Linked DNA regions of Caenorhabditis elegans. The protein of the gene in region 2 interacts with the protein of the main gene of each other region in a biochemical or structural test. Each region holds a gene or a part of one and is shown on either strand. Other genes may lie near its edges.

Region 1 (4,676 bases), 8.0 Mb from region 2:
AATTTTTCGATTTTTAATATAAATTTAAAAAAAAAACGGATTTTTTAATGTATTTTTAGAGAAAAATCTGATTTTTTAATGTATTTTTAGAGAAAAATCTGATTTTTTGATATTTTTACTGAAAAATCGGAATAATTTCAATTTTTAATATATTTTTAGAGAAAAATCGGAATTTTCTCGTTTTTTATAAGAAAAATTAGCATTTTTCAATGTTTTTAAATTTTTTTAAAGAAGAAATTGGAATTTTTTCGGTTTTTTAATATATTTTTTGGGAAAAATCGGTTTTTTTTTTTCAATTTTTAATATATTTTCTGCGATTTAATTAGAATATTATCTTCTCTACCTTATTCCGGAAATATTTTCTACATTCAAGGCATAAAAAATGCCGAGAAATTGAAGTCCAGCTCCGTTCCTCTTCGGTTTTTTGTCGCCGCATTCTTTTTTTCTGTTAAAAAAACAATTTTTCGCTGCAATTTCCGTGAAAAGCATTTAAAAATCGTTGAAACGAATGAAAAATTGGAAATTGAACAAAAAAATGGCCAGAAAATCGAATTTTTATGATGAAAAACCGAAAAAATGAGGAAAAAATGAGGAAAAATGAAGAGAAAATAGAAAAATCGATAAATAACAGAGTTCTTCAGTGAGTGGCGAGAGAGTGTGTGAGATGAAGAGACGCAGGGTGTTCGACAGGAGAATTTATTCATAAATCCGCCCAATTAATCGGGTTTCGACCGGAATTTTCGAGCTCCGTGTTGCATTTCGAGAAGCATTTGCATCCCCACCACTTGCGAGCACTCAGCGGAGACGGATGGGCGGTCTGGAAATTTTTTAAAATTTTTTAAAAAATTAAATTTGAGTTTAGTGGAAATATTTTTAAAATACGCTAAAAAATAGGTTTTTTTTTTCACAAAAATCAAAAATTTTGCGATTTTCCACGTCTGAAACCAATCAATTTTTCCCTTTGAAATTAATTTAAATTTTGGTGGAAAATGTCAAAAATTGCCAGAAAAACTTTAAAAAATTCAAGAATTTCCCACAAAATTGTAGTAAAATTGTCAATTTTCAGTTAAAAACCAAAAAAAAAAACAAGATTCTCCAGGTTTTGCTCCAAATTTGCTCCTTGTTTAAAATATCTATGTGAAAAATTGGAAAAAAAAGTCCCTTTTATTGTAGAAAATCGACGATTTTCAAACGCGCGCCAGACATTGAAGCGCGCTGTGTCTTGTGCCGATTTACGAGCCAGCTTTCAGCTTTTTATTCATTTTTATCGGTTTTTTTCGTTGAAAATTGTGTATTTTCGAGCCAATTGAACATTTTATGATCAGAAAACCGCGAAAATTTCCTATTTTTAGATGAAAAAGGAGGTAAATTCAGAGAAAATCGGAATTTTTTGAGTTTTTAAAGAGAAAATTGGAGTTTTTAAATAGAAATTTTCTCGAATTTTTTTTTCGATTAAAAAACAATTTCTGTTTTTCGATTTTTCTCTGAAAAAATAGAAAAAAAAAATTTTAATTTTCTCTTTTAAAAAATCGAAAAAATTCTAATTTTCTCCTTAAAAATTTCAAAAAAATTCCGATTTTCTCTTTTAAAAAATGGAAAAAATTCCGATTTTCTCTGGAAAACTATATGAAAAAATGGAAAAAATTCCGATTTTCTTTGAAAAAATCGAAAATATTCCGATTTTCTCTAAAAAATCAAAAAAAAAATCGAAAAAATTCCGATTTTCTTTGAAAAAAATTAAAAAAAACGAAAAAATTCCGATTTTCTCTGGAAAGAAATAGAAAAATTCCGGTTTTCTATTTAAAAAAAAAAAGAAGAAAAATTCCGATTTTCTTTGAAAAAATCGAAAAAATTCGGTTTTTTTTCTCTGAATTTAAATCATTTTCCATCTAAAAATAAGGAAATTTTGCGAGTTTTATAATAATAAAATGTTCAAAAAACCGAAAAAAAAAATGAAGAAACAGCAAAAAATTGGCTTTAAAAAAACAAATCTCGTAAATCGACACAACACGGTGCGTTCCAATGAGAATCGTCTCTGGCTCTCTGGCGCGCGTTTGAAAATCGTCGATTTTCTACAATAAAAGGGACGTTTTTTTCCAATTTTTCACATAGATATTCGGAATCAGGGGAAAATTTAGAGCAAACCCCTGAATTTTTTTTAGTTTTTAACTGAAAAGTGACAATTTTACTACCATTTTATGGGAAAATCTTGAATTTTTTTCTAGGTTTTCTGGCAATTTTTACCTAAATTTCCAGCAAAATCGCAAAATTTCCGATTTTACAGGTGAAAATCGGCAATTTTTGTCGTTTTCCAACACATTTTTAGGGAAAAAATCTTAAAATCAACTTTTCCATGCTTTTTCCAGAATTCTATCCAGAAAAATAATGACCTTTATAACTACATGTTTCTTTGTATCAATCAGTTCTTCCTTCTTATGAGCAAATCCTCCCCATAACAAAAAGACAATAGGCTTCTCCGATTGTCGCGAAATAATCCGAATAACAGTGTCCGTGAAAGTTTGCCAGCCGATCTTCGCGTGAGAATTCGCCTCGTGAGCCCGAACCGTCAACGTGGCATTCAACATGAACACTCCCTGACGTGTCCAGCCGAGCAGGTTCCCGTGATCGGGCCGCTTGAAGCCTTCAATATCGGATTCAAGCTCTTTATAGATATTTTTCAGCGATGGCGGCGGTTTTACACCCTTCTGAACACTGAAGGAGAGCCCGTGAGCTTGATTATCATCGTGATAGGGGTCTTGACCGATGATAACCACGCTGATCTCGTCGAATGGCAGAAGATTGAATGTTGTGAAAATTTGTGTGGGCGGTGGGAACACTTGCTTGCCCTTGTTCACTTCGGAATTCAAGAATTTCTCGATTTTCGAAATATAGCCTTTTTTGAATTCCTCCTCTAAAAGTTTCGACCAAGATTCACCGGTTAGCAGGGATTTTAGCAGAATTTCAGTTGGTTCTGGTGCTTGTAACTTCATTTTCTTGACTTCTTGATTTTCATTGCCCGCGGGAACTTTTTCCGGAATATTTTCAGTATTTGAAGCGGATTTTCTGAAATTTCGGTGGTTTTTTTTGAATTTTCAGAGCGGGAAATACCGTTTAGAGGCAGCGGATGCTTTGAGGAACATGTCCGGAATTCTTACAGTCTTCGACATTCTGAAATAAACGGAAATCTAGAAGAAAAAAAAAGAATTTTTATTCAAAAAACACGAGTGGAAATGAGATAAAATAAACCTGAGGGCATAGATAAGGATATTTGAAAAATTAAATCACAAAAATGGGAAATTATTCGAGTTATTTGCAGGCAAACCGGTGAATTCGTAACCTGAAAATGAAGAAAATCGATAAAAATCATTTAATTTCGCATTGACTACGGTAGGTAATTGTGTGCACTTTTGCGTGGCGGTGTATGCACAGAATTGATTTTTAAAAAAAATTAATTTTTTTTTAAATTTTAAAATTAATTTATTGAATTTTTCGACGATTTTCTTGAACTTTTCTCACACATTTTTGTGCAAAAACTCTTATTTTCAAACTTTCAGACTCAAAACGCACTGGAAAATCATTAGAAATGGCACCGAAGAAGAAAATGGTAATTTTTATGGCGAAAATTACTTGAAACAGACAAAAAAATCCGAATTATCGAAAAAAAGGACTCTCCCGCCGAAATGTCTCGTTTGAATGGGGTGGCGGCAGCTAGGCCGTGGTTGCACGCGGTCACGTCCAGATGGTCGATAATATTGGCGTTATTGGAGGAGTACGGGGGTTTTTAATGTATAATAATAAGAATAATAATTCAAAAAAAGTGCACTTTCGGACGCTGCAGCACGGAAAAGTGGCCAAAATTAGAGATTTTAGTTAAAATTAGCGCTTTTTTTTTCGAAATTTTGATTTTTTTTTTCACAATTTTCACAATTCCTTTAAAGGTGGGGTAGCGCTAGTGGGGAAATTGCTTTAAAACATGCCTATGGTACCACAATGACCGAATTTCATGATAAAAAATTCAAAAAAAAATTTATAAATTTTATATGATTTTTTGAAAATTGAAAAAATCACAGTTTTCCCCTAATTCCTATTTGAATTACCGCCAATTGAATTTGTTCGATGGGGCGCGCTTGCACGTTTTTAAATTTATTTATTTTATTTTTTGTTATTTTCCACCGATTTTTAATGTTTTCGGTGTATTTTTGCTCGAATTTTAGAGAAAAAATCAACATAAATGCAAATTTTCGATTAAAAAGCACGCTTACAGGCGTAAAAATGAAAAAGTAACGCTTTTAAACGATTTCGAACCTGAATTAATTAATTTCACTGATTTACGCCTGTAAGCGCACTTTTTAATCGAAAATTTGCATTTATTTTGACTTTTTCTCTAAAATTCGAGCAAAAATACACCGAAAACATTAAAAATCGGTGGAAAATAACAAAAAATAAAATAAATAAATTTAAAAACGTGCAAGCGCGCCCCATCGAACAAATTCAATTGGCGGTAATTCAAATAGGAATTAGGGGAAAACTGTGATTTTTCCAATTTTCAAAAAATCATATAAAATTTAGAAAAAATTTTTGAATTTTTTAATCATGATATTCGGTCATTGTGGTACCATAGGCGTATTTTAAAGCAATTTCCCCACAAAGCGTAGTCCACCTTTAAAATTTTTTGG
Region 2 (3,920 bases):
TCAGATATCCGACGACGGTTTCTACTCAACAACAACAACATCATCAAATGGTGGTCCTATTCGAACAACTACAACTTTCGATGAGCCCACTTCAAGTCCACCGACAATTTGTAGAGTTCTTTATGATTTTGAGCCGAAGCATGCTGACGAGATTGAGGTGGCTCTATTTAATTGAGATCTATATTATAAATCTGAATTATTTTAAGATTAGAGAAGGTCAATGTGTTCTTGTCGAGGATCGAATAGGAGATGATTGGCTCATTGGGCACGTTATAAGCCAACATGACAATTCTTCAATTGATCCACGATCTGGAAGATTTCCAACCACATATGTTTCTCTTAGGCAATGAGACTTTTTTCTTGGCGGCACAATAAAGTTTCCTCTTTTTGTTGGGTCACTCAACGAACACAATACAAATATTTGAGCGCTCGCATTTTTCTCAACCTTTCGGGTTTAAAGCACTTCAAAATGGAATTGAAGAGAGATTGTGAAAGTACATCAGACAGAATCACATTTTGATAGCATTCACTTCACTCAGATGCAAACTTTTCAGTGACTATAAAAAGTCATAAAATAATAACATTAAAAAAGCAAATAAATTAGCGAGAGAATTTTTTGACAAAAAGAAAGAAGAGTGATAGAGAAGAAGGGAATGCTTGAAAGGATCTTGCATTTATTGCTCCGATTCGTAAGTCTCTCCAGCTTCTCCCTCAGCGTATCCGTCGACGTCGTCTTCGGCAGTTGCTTCTTGGTATTGTTGGTATTCTGAGATGAGATCGTTCATGTTGCTCTCGGCTTCGGTGAACTCCATCTCGTCCATTCCTTCTCCAGTGTACCAATGGAGGAAAGCCTTGCGGCGGAACATAGCTGAAAAAATAACGTTTTTAAAACTGATACTGGATGATAGTTTCAAATTTCTTACCAGTGAACTGCTCTGAGATACGCTTGAAAAGCTCTTGGATAGCGGTCGAGTTTCCAACGAAGGTGGCAGCCATCTTGAGTCCTCTTGGTGGGATGTCACAAACGGCGGTCTTGACGTTGTTCGGGATCCATTCGACGAAGTAGGACGAGTTCTTGTTCTGAACGTTGAGCATTTGCTCGTCAACCTCTCTCATCGACATGCGTCCACGGAACATAGCGGCCACGGTCAGGTAACGTCCGTGTCTTGGGTCACAGGCAGCCATCATGTTCTTGGCATCGAACATTTGTTGGGTGAGCTCGGCGACGGTAAGGGCACGGTAAGCCTGGGTTCCCTTGGCGGAAAGTGGTGCGAATCCTGGCATGAAGAAGTGAAGACGTGGGAATGGAACCATGTTGACGGCAAGCTTGCGGAGATCGGCATTGAGCTGTCCTGGGAATCGGAGACAGGTGGTAACTCCGGACATGGTGAGGGATACTGAAAATTGTAATTATTAGGTTTCAATTTGGGTAACTTGTGCATAACTTAAACTTGAACAAGAAATAATAACTTACCAAGATGGTTCAAATCACCGTAGGTTGGGTTGGTGAGTTTGAGGGTACGGTAGCAGATGTCGTAGAGGGCCTCGTTGTCAATGCAGTAGGTCTCATCGGTGTTCTCAACAAGCTGGTGGACGGAGAGGGTGGCATTGTATGGTTCTACAACTGTGTCGGACACCTTTGGCGATGGTACAACCGAGAATGAGCTCATGATTCTGTCTGGGTACTCTTCGCGGATTTTGGAGATGAGAAGTGTTCCCATTCCAGATCCGGTTCCTCCTCCGAGAGAGTGAGTGAGTTGGAATCCTTGAAGACAATCGCATCCTTCGGCTTCCTTGCGGATCACGTCAAGCACATTGTCGACAAGCTCAGCTCCTTCTGTGTAGTGACCCTTGGCCCAGTTGTTTCCGGCTCCGCTTTGTCCGAACACAAAGTTGTCAGGACGGAACAGCTGGCCGAATGGTCCAGAGCGGACAGAATCCATGGTTCCTGGTTCGAGATCGACCAACACGGCGCGTGGCACATACTTTCCGTCTGAAAAAATTTAATTAATTAATCATTCCAACTAAACGATTTCGAAATCTCCAGAAAATTTTAAAAACTCACTGTTGGCTTCGTTGTAGTAGACGTCAATGCGCTCAAGCTGGAGATCCGTCTCTCCCTTGAAGGTTCCGTCTGGCTGGATTCCGTGCTCGTCGGAGATGACCTCCCAGAATTTGGATCCGATTTGGTTTCCGCATTGTCCGGCTTGCACGTGGACGATCTCTCTCATTTTTGCTGAAAAGGTCGTAATGAATTGAAAAACTATATTTAGATAGAGAAGATGAAGGAAAATAACAAAAGAAAGAGAACACGTCATGGTCGATATTGAAAAGCAATGATTCACGGCAAAAATTTAAAATTAAAGGAGTAAGTTTTTTTAATACATTGAAATTTGAGAGATGTTTAATTGGTGATTTGATTCTAGTTTATTGTGCTCTGAAATTAAATGATTCACGGCGAAAATAAGAAATTAAAAGACGAATTAGGAATAAGGTTGAATAAGGTTACCTTGAAAAATATAAGAGATGTTTAATTGGTGATTCTTTTCTATTCTATATAGGTTGATTCTAGTTTATTGCACTCCGAAATTAACTACTTTCGATAAAAATTTCAGCGCAAGTACCTTTCTATTTGCTCTAAAATGAGCCCACTTTTCATAATCGCTACCCCAAAAAGGAAACAAAAGGACGTTGTAGGAGCAGACATGCAGCTCTTGGGATGTATGGAATGGAGACGAAGAAGAGGCGGGTCGGGCGCAGTTGTGTCCGACGCTGTGTGCATTCGGATCGATAATCGCGAGAACACGGGGCGCGCGGCGCCCGCTCGCATTAAAAACCGCAGTGGCCACTGGGGCAGCAGTCGTTGTTGGACTGCAAAGGGTGGTGAAATCGAATAGACTATTGCGAAATATGCAGATATGGGTAGAATGGGTGAAGAGGAAGAGAGCAGAGGCAAATCTATTGCGAAACATACACAAAATGTCCATCAATTCCCTCTCTTTTTGCTTAATCCATTTGTTTTGCGTGTCACCACTAGGTTTGGCAGAAGGAGATAGAGCACACGACACAGATGGCTTTTCATCGGGTGCAATTTGGTGCTATTGGTTTGGGGTAGAGAGGGAGATGCCGCTTGGCGCGCAGTAATCCTATGGGAACCGAATGAAATGTGCTGGGGGCCTGCAGCTTTGAAAAGCCTTCAGAATAAAAGAGATGAAGACGAACCGTGAAGAAAAACGAGGGACAAAAACTAGTTCAATGCGATGGAAATCGTACCCCTGTTGACGGCTGCGGTGGTGGTGAATTGAGAATTGCGGAGAAAAGAGAAACGGAGATGACGTGGCAGTGACAATCGGCTTGGGGTCGCCTATACAATACGATACATATGCAGCCAATACTTCGTCACACATGCAGCCAGTCAGAGAAAGGTCAATTACCGTAGTACACGCGCCAGGAGACAATGTTAATGGGTACTATCTAGATCAGTTGCTGGTTGGATAACGATTTTAAAATACAATCCAAATCAACGGGAAGCTTCAAAAAAAAATTCCAAGAAATAACTGACGAAAAAAGTCGAGTTAAGGGTCGTGTGTCGGCGCTGGGGACGAAAAAGAGCTCTACTCTTACCCCCACTTTCCGTTGTCGATGAGACACATTATACCAAGCGAGAAACATAGAGACTGGCGCCGCCCGTGCTTCCCTCCCTTCTCCCGTCGTTTTTCTCTCCGCGCCCTCTATGTTTCGGATGGACAGGGACGCGAATGCTTTGTGACGGCCTTGACCAACGGGCGACAGCGGTGTCCCTTACCAACCCGCCACAGGCGAGGCATTTCAAAAAATGTGCCCATCCATCTAGCAATTTGAAAAGACGACGCGCCTGGCTTACGAAGTTAAGGAACTAGCCAACTGAAAAAGTGGAACTC

Evidence for each region. Proteins that work in one complex are often made in the same cells at the same time.
Region 1: the proteins of tbb-2 (region 2) and ung-1 form a complex in vitro, tested with the Caenorhabditis elegans proteins (one large-scale study listed by BioGRID).

What each region holds. Positions count from the first base shown.
Region 1 is NC_003281.10:11,970,923-11,975,598, forward strand, and holds ung-1 (Uracil-DNA glycosylase), read right to left. Parts: upstream 3,169-4,676; 5' UTR 3,168-3,168; coding exon 3,109-3,167; intron 3,064-3,108; coding exon 2,391-3,063; intron 818-2,390; coding exon 701-817; 3' UTR 545-700; downstream 1-544. Other genes in the region: Y56A3A.28 (C2H2-type domain-containing protein), read right to left, coding at 344-436; Y56A3A.30 (SP-RING-type domain-containing protein), read right to left, coding at 3,282-3,337; Y56A3A.31 (SOSS complex subunit A homolog), read left to right, coding at 3,584-3,604. UniProt on the Caenorhabditis elegans protein: Excises uracil residues from the DNA which can arise as a result of misincorporation of dUMP residues by DNA polymerase or due to deamination of cytosine.
Region 2 is NC_003281.10:4,015,392-4,019,311, forward strand, and holds tbb-2 (Tubulin beta-2 chain), read right to left. Parts: upstream 2,237-3,920; 5' UTR 2,232-2,236; coding exon 2,066-2,231; intron 1,994-2,065; coding exon 1,475-1,993; intron 1,398-1,474; coding exon 924-1,397; intron 869-923; coding exon 675-868; 3' UTR 519-674; downstream 1-518. Other genes in the region: C36E8.4 (SH3 domain-containing protein), read left to right, coding at 5-157, 207-350. UniProt on the Caenorhabditis elegans protein: Tubulin is the major constituent of microtubules, a cylinder consisting of laterally associated linear protofilaments composed of alpha- and beta-tubulin heterodimers.